Saccharomyces cerevisiae S288C: one gene and its partner. Changing the gene in region 2 together with the main gene of any one other region gives a genetic interaction. Each region holds a gene or a part of one and is shown on either strand. Other genes may lie near its edges.

Region 1 (3,758 bases), 310 kb from region 2:
TAGTTTAACCAGTTTTGGTAATGCCTGAAATAACATAAAAAGCTGATGCTAAGTGGGCTACGCTATGCTCCAGGTGAAGATAATCAGAACACTACATCTCTACTGCAAATTTATATCTCATAAGAACTAAATAAAATGGCTAGTATTTAAGTTAATCTTCTAACCTAAAAAATTATCGAGAACAATACCGTGAAAACTGCATAAACTGACATTTTGAAAGCATCAATAAAAATGTTCTTCGGAGCACTGTTTTCCATCTTCTTTGAACTTCCTTGACTTTTTGCACCATTTTTTCCTTTTTCTTTCTTTCCATTATCATTGTCAGTTTCCTGCTTTCCTAGTACATTCCCCTCTTCATCAACATTCAGCATTTTACTTTTCATACCAGATGTGCATTCGATTTTACCGCCTCTTATGATCGAACGACCGGCTTTTGGTGATGTAAATTCTTCACAGTTTAATTCCTCAGATGAACTTTTGATATAAGCGCTACCTTTTACTAACTTTAGCTCTGGGAGGTCAATTTTATCAAAGCTACCTTCAAAATATATTGCACCGCCAATTTGCCTCAACTTGGGGAAGAAATCAATTTTGGCAAGCTCTGTATTGTTAGCAATCATTAGACCCCCTTGAATATCGGTGGCATTCGAAAAGTTTAGCTTTTTCAGATTTTTATTATCTATTAACCCCAACGTTCCTTGAACTTTTGCCAAAAGTGGTAGTTCCAAGCTTGAAAATTGATTCTCGATGAACTCTAGAGAACTGTTCACAGAGGAAAGTTTAGCTAGTTTAATTTCTGAAACGTCCTTAATGGTCATATTTTCAACCGTGTGTAAGTTGCTCAAATCAAGTTCCAGCTCTTTGGCATTAGAGTGGACGGTTAGTTGTTTAGTAACACTTTCTAAACTTGCGAATAAATTTTCTAAAAACCTGTTATTGTTGATATTGAAAATATCCACTTTCTTGACGTTATTGAAGTAATCGATGGAGGTTAATGCAGTATCAGATATGATAATATTTTTGATCTTTTTAATATTTCCGTTAATGACAACACTACTTAGAATAGGCAAAACTCTCCAATCAACGGTTTCAACTTCTTTTAAAGCGGGAAAGTCTAATGATACAAAGGAAGTTAGGCTATCCAATTCCAACTTTCCCAAAGACTCTAAATTATAACCCTGGATTCTAAAAATGTGTTTGTTATTCTTGATAATAAGATCTCCCTCTATCTCTCTTATTAACCCTAGATCAATAAGAGATCCGCTGTAGTTACTTGATATTTCAATGTTTCCTACCACTTTCCAACATTTAGCTTGCAGTTCAATCAAATTTCCAGCATTCTCAATATGATACAAGCCTTTTTTACAGTCTTCATCTACTTGTGTTTGTTTTGTTGGAGAAATCACCTCAAAATCAGTTTGTTCCTTTTTAGGGATCGTTGCATTAGTGTTAACCAACATAATGTTGTGATCTAGAATATTCGGTCCACCATTAGGTTCAACTGCAGCGGATGATTTAATTAACTGCAGAAACAAGAATAAAAATCTTAAGATTGTGTTCAACTGGTTCAACATGCTATCCTTTTCTTTTTTTGTAGAAACTTTGGTTTCTTTATTGACTATTTGAATAACAGAAATACTAGTGAAGAATGTTTGTGTTTTCCAAATTGGCATTTTCTTTTATAGTCTAAGTAATGCCACAAAATATTTTTTTTGAGACGCATCAATGACGGGACAGTAAAGACATAAACGCTCGATCAGAAAAAAAGAATCGAAAAAAAAAGGGAGAAATAAGCAGGTAAATAATCAAAAACACATGACTTTTTACTGTTTGTTATATAATTCAATATATCCATCCTTCATTTATTGAAGATGAAAGAGAATGGAAAACAAAAACTCATGCATATACACACATTATATATATATATCTATTTTTTTAAACGAATCCTTTCTTTATTGCTTCAATTCTTAGTGAGATCTCTTCTATAAAAACCTCATTAAATCCAGGAACGTTTGCCTCAGTTTTAATGAATTGCTTTAACATTTCATTTACGTATTTTCTTGTTTCATCGTCGCGCGCACGATCATACATTCTGTTGAGAATATGAGATACAATGTTTTTCAAGTAGTCAAACTTTTCTATCTTCAACGCCTGAATATCGTTCTTTTTATGCTTCTTATTATGATTAGAGAGAGGAACTATTTCGGTCTCTGCTTGAGCATTTGGGCAGCCTGAATCTATATCCATTCCTGAATCAAGCTCGAAAACTGGTTGCGTACATTTTCTAAATGATGAAGAACTTGGGTTGGTTATCGGCGTTACAGTTTGCCCATGAAGTAAATAAGGACTTTCCATATTTAAAGATGATGTTGGAGAGTCTTGTGTAATGGGAGATAATTCCTCTTTGGAAATTTGTGTTGTGCTTAGTCTTGTCGATTCAAAATTCCAAAATTCCTTTCCCCTCACTGTGTTGCTGTTTTTATACAAGCGATTTTGAAGAGGGTATTTGGGAACTTTTGTATATCTCTCCTGAACCTTTTTCTGTTTAATTAGATCAACATCACTTTTCAAGTTCGTTATGGTGATATTCTTAACAAATTCAAATGATAACAAGTTATATGCCGATGGCCGATCAGCAGGTGTTTTAACAAGACAACCAGCTACGAAATCCTTTGCTGCATCCGAAAAGGGACCTTGTAATTTTGGAGGCTTCCTTTTTGGTAAGTTAGTCATAACTTTCATAGGATCATATTTAGATAATGGGGGTAAGCCCTTGAGTAACTCATAGGTGGTGATACCCAAGGACCATATATCTGCTTTCTCATTATACCCATCAACTTCGCAGCAAACAACTTCCGGAGCCATCCAATACGGCGTTCCTACAAAAGTGTCCCTTTTCAAAGTGGAACGAATGTGGCCACTTACTCCGAAATCACCCAACTTAACCATACCTTCTTCATTTAGTAAAATATTAGCTGCTTTGATATCACGATGAATTTTCCTTTGCTCATGCAGGTATTTCAAACCCAAGGTGACTTCATGAATAATGAAGGAAACTTTTTCTTCAGGCAAACCGTTGACGTAACTTCGCTTCAGTAAATCTGAACATGATCCACCGCCGCAATATTCCATGACAATCCACATAGAGACATCTTCTAACATTGTTGCAATATAGTTTGTAATAAGAGGAGATTTCAATTCCGCCAGAAAAAAAATTTCCTGTGCTAACAGTTCAATGTCTTCGTCGGAATGCTCCAGGTTGACCACCTTAATTGCCACAATTTCTTGCGTAACTCTATCCACTGCTTTATACACATCACCAAAGTTACCTCTGCCAATACATGATTGGATGGAATATAGCTTCGATGGAGGGGTTCTTGACCTAATTGATATTTCTTTGCTTTCCATTTTGTGCTATTTTCTTTTGTTGTTTAGTAAATGAATTAGCTAGTAAAAAAACTAAATTTAAAAAGCAAATGCTGGTTTGCTTTCTTTTGAGAAATGTTTGCTAAGACAACTGACTAGCCAGGTGTTCACTAAATCGATAATATTGAAAATGGCAAAATAAGAAAAAAAAAGAAGAGAATTAGCTGGCTTTTTTTGGATAGGAAATATTAAATGAAGCAGTTGGAACCAAGATAATAAACAAAAACAGTATATTAAGTGACTCTTTAGTATATATCTGAACTAACAAGTAAAATATCGATGTTAGAAATGGTTACAATAGAAGAAAGTAGTGTCATTCTTTCGCGTCAAAA
Region 2 (3,658 bases):
TCACTGTGGTTGGCTGGAGACACTTCCACGTACAAAACATATAGAGATCCAATATCTAATTGTGGGAAGCTACTTCTTGGAGGGGTGGATCCTTCGCTGTTTACCGGTACACTGGGAAAATTTGACTTAATTCCTTACGTTGACCCAGTGAGTAATGCTGTTAGTGTTGGGTACCCAATTGTGCCATTAGGCCCTATTTATATTGTGTCTAACAGCGGACAAAGTTTGAATATGACTTCGAAGGACTTTCTGAGCCCAGCCTTACTTGATTCAACTTCTTCGGTCAGTTACCTGCCAACTAGTACCATTATTCAGATTGCCGTTCAAATTGCGGCCACTTATGTGGAATCACTAGATAGGTGGCTAGTCCAATGTTCTATAGCAGATATGGGTGTCTCCTTGGGTTTCAGGCTTCGAGAATTGACAATTGAAATACCCCTACGTGATTTATTATCATCTACTTACGATACATCCACCAATTCTTCAATGTTTTTCAGTTCTGGACAGGAAGCTTGTTTTCTAACACTATACGCTAATACAAATACTGGAGTAAACATACTCGGAGAAGCCTTCATAAAAAATATATATATGGCAATGGACTTAGAGGATAACACTATAGCCATTGCACAGGCAAAGAAGGTTGAAGATGACGCAGTTACTGAAGAGACAAATGAAACTACCGCGTCCACTATCATCAAGAAGATCAAATCTGGTTACATTCCTTACGCAAAAGTGATGAATAGTAGTAATACAAGAAACTTGACTCTTTATCCATCCTATAGGTCAGGCTATATGTTCACTGTCCCAGGTCAACTGACAGCAGCATACTCAAACGGTGTGATTACAGGTGCGGGCCGGTCATTCTATGATACTTCAAGAGCAAGCACAAGTGCTAGACCATCCAGTACTCAATTCGACAGCTTTTCTGTGTCAGCCTCAGAAGAGTGGTCAAATTCAACTAATAGAACCAGCAGTGCTTCGGGAGCAGGCGTTCGATTGAGCAGTCCTTATACATTTAACAAAGATCCAGCTGGACATGTAACTCGTATAGCTTCCTTGCTACTACTTTCGATATTCTCGATACTTATTGTTCTTTGAATGGTTTTAACAAAAGTTCATAACATAAAACCTTTTTCTCCTTGACCAATGCACGTATAACATCATTATATAGCAGATTTAATAACAACATACTTAAAAGTATATATGCGTCATTCTTATCCAGTTGTGTAGAAGCTAGTACTTGTGATCAACCATTGGCAGCCATCTCAAAGAATCGTCGTGCACGGAGCGTAAATCGCGTTACTTTTTTTTTTGTTTTTTTTCCCGCCTCGAGGTTGGTTCAACAGCAGATCATGGTGACTGGCGATAGGTTATTCACTAGAAAATGAAGATACTCTTTCTTGGGAGGTAACTCTGTAAAATTTCTAATTTGTATTTTATAGTGTGTAGAATCCGAAATATATCCGATCTACCTCGCTCTTTTTATTGTTATTTTTATTCGAGGAATTTAAGTGTTTTGCAGACCTATCCCTTCGAACACGTAACGTCATTTTACCATAATCTTCGACTGCTTAATTGTTGATACATTGTAGGTTCCATTACACTTTGCCAGCATTTTCCATTTTTAGAAAAATTGATACATATACGCAAGATTTAGCATGGAGAATAGAAACAGTAGTACCTCTAGTAGGCCATTTTCTGTTAATAACCCGTTTAGAAATGCCACAGTTGATTCAAGTATTAATCAGTATAAAAATGACTCCCAGTTTCAGGAGTGGGCGAAAAACCAATCTCGTACCAATTCATTTGATATGCCACAATTGAACACAAGAACTTCTTCACAATTATCATTCCCAAACATTCCAGAGGATGAACCCCAGCGAAACGCAGATCAGCAGGGTGCTTTTTATTCTGGTTTGGAGAGCTTTAGTAGTGGTAGTTTATCACCACCTTCGAGACCTCTTTCCTCAAAGAATCCTTTCCTAGACGATGTGAGTTCTGCAACCGATTTTAGAAGGTCTCCCCCACCTGTTTCAAGGAATAAAAATCATCCCACTGCTAAAGAAGAAAAAGAACAATTAAGGCAAAGATATTTGGAGGAAAGTGACGTAAGTACAGTAGGTAACACAAGAGAAAACACTGACCTACCACCCTCATACGAAGAGATCACTTCAACCAATGGATCAAGGCGTGCATATCCAAAGGAAAAGGTTTCTCGTCCTTCTTCTCACCGCGAACATAGCAACAGCGGCACATATATTTCACGCAGATCTTCATCCCACCATCACCGTGAAGCTTCCTCATCTTCAACGCCTTCTAAGAAGGGAAAGAGAAAAAGTAAGGTTATTGTTCCTAAGAACGTCGATACTATCGATAAGTTAGATGTAACTGGATTGTTCGGTGGCTCATTTCATCATGACGGCCCATTCGATGCAGTAACACCTCATAGAAATAAAAATAACAAAGCTGCGCCTGTTTTAGCATTTCCGGTCGATGGTCCAAACAGTACCATCGGTGGCGCTTCAACCAAGAAGTCTGCCCTGGATGAGGTTTTTGGGAGAGATGATACAGATGATTCTGATATATACCAGTACAGTTCGCAGACTCTAAGGAGAGGTGGTGATACGCAGGACGCAATAAAAGCAAACGTGGGTAACGTCCAACAAATGGATGCCAAAAATAAGACAGAATTGGTTCATGGGCCAGTTACTGCGGGATTAGGTTCTAGTACGTTTTTAGATGGGGCGCCGGCCTCCTCAGCTGCCATTAGAAACGACATAAAAGCCCATTCCTATCATAATCGTAACGGTGGTTTACAAAGAAATAAGTCACTTTCTCAACGATTAGGTCTCGGAGGATCCGGTGATAGCAATGCCCCCATGACAGGCGTTAGAAGAAACTTGAGTTTAAGTAGAGACAACTATGATGTTGGTCACAGCAATGAAGGTGTTAGAAGGTCGAAAACCGTTAATTCTCCTAACAGAACGCATAAGTCCAATTATACTACTGATTTCGACGGCCAAGATGATCACAATGAAGATGAGGAAGACGTTTATTTGGGTGTGCGCTACAATGAGCCCAATATGAAAAAGAAATCGACGGGCAGCAAATTACTGAGCAGAGTAAAAAGTCTAAAGGTCGGCAGGAAAAGTCAGTAAAGTGAGCTTAAAAGAGAGAAAAGAAGCTATGAGACACCAAAGCCAGGCAAATAAAAGGGAGAGATACGAATAAAAATAATTTAAGACCACGTTATATACACATTACGAATAGTTTGACTTTATATATTTACAGAGACTACCAACTTATATCAAAAGGAAAAAATTCCCATTACCAGTTTCATTCATAACGTGTTGAATGCTTGGATCTTAGTACGTTGAGGTAACCTTGACTCTACAATTTTCCATTCTATAGAGTCCCATACCCTTTCTAAATATTCTCGTTTCCCAAATACGCCATAATCAGTTAACCATGTTTTTGGTGACGCATCAATGGCTAAAAGCGGGATATATGAAACCTCTTTCCCAGAAAAACCTTTCTGTTGGGTTTCATAAATAAATTTTGTCTTGGCTTGCTTGGCAGTCATCTCAGAATCTTCAAGATTACCGGCTTCTTTGGCTCGTTGTTTTTCCATGTTGGTATATTGGTTATTGAGCTCATT

Evidence for each region. Genes that interact genetically often act in the same process or in processes that back each other up.
Region 1: mutations in PAL1 (region 2) and SPS2 together harm fitness more than expected from each alone (negative genetic interaction), as found in Saccharomyces cerevisiae (2 studies listed by BioGRID).

What each region holds. Positions count from the first base shown.
Region 1 is NC_001136.10:1,483,631-1,487,388, forward strand, and holds SPS2 (Sps2p), read right to left. Parts: upstream 1,674-3,758; coding exon 165-1,673; downstream 1-164. Other genes in the region: putative serine/threonine protein kinase SPS1, read right to left, coding at 1,936-3,408. UniProt on the Saccharomyces cerevisiae protein: Involved in middle stages of meiosis. Redundant with SPS22 for the organization of the beta-glucan layer of the spore wall.
Region 2 is NC_001136.10:1,169,826-1,173,483, reverse strand, and holds PAL1 (Pal1p), read left to right. Parts: upstream 1-1,658; coding exon 1,659-3,158; downstream 3,159-3,658. Other genes in the region: YPS7 (putative aspartic endopeptidase), read left to right, coding at 1-1,098; mitochondrial 37S ribosomal protein mS43 MRP1, read right to left, coding at 3,341-3,658. UniProt on the Saccharomyces cerevisiae protein: Involved in the early step of endocytosis.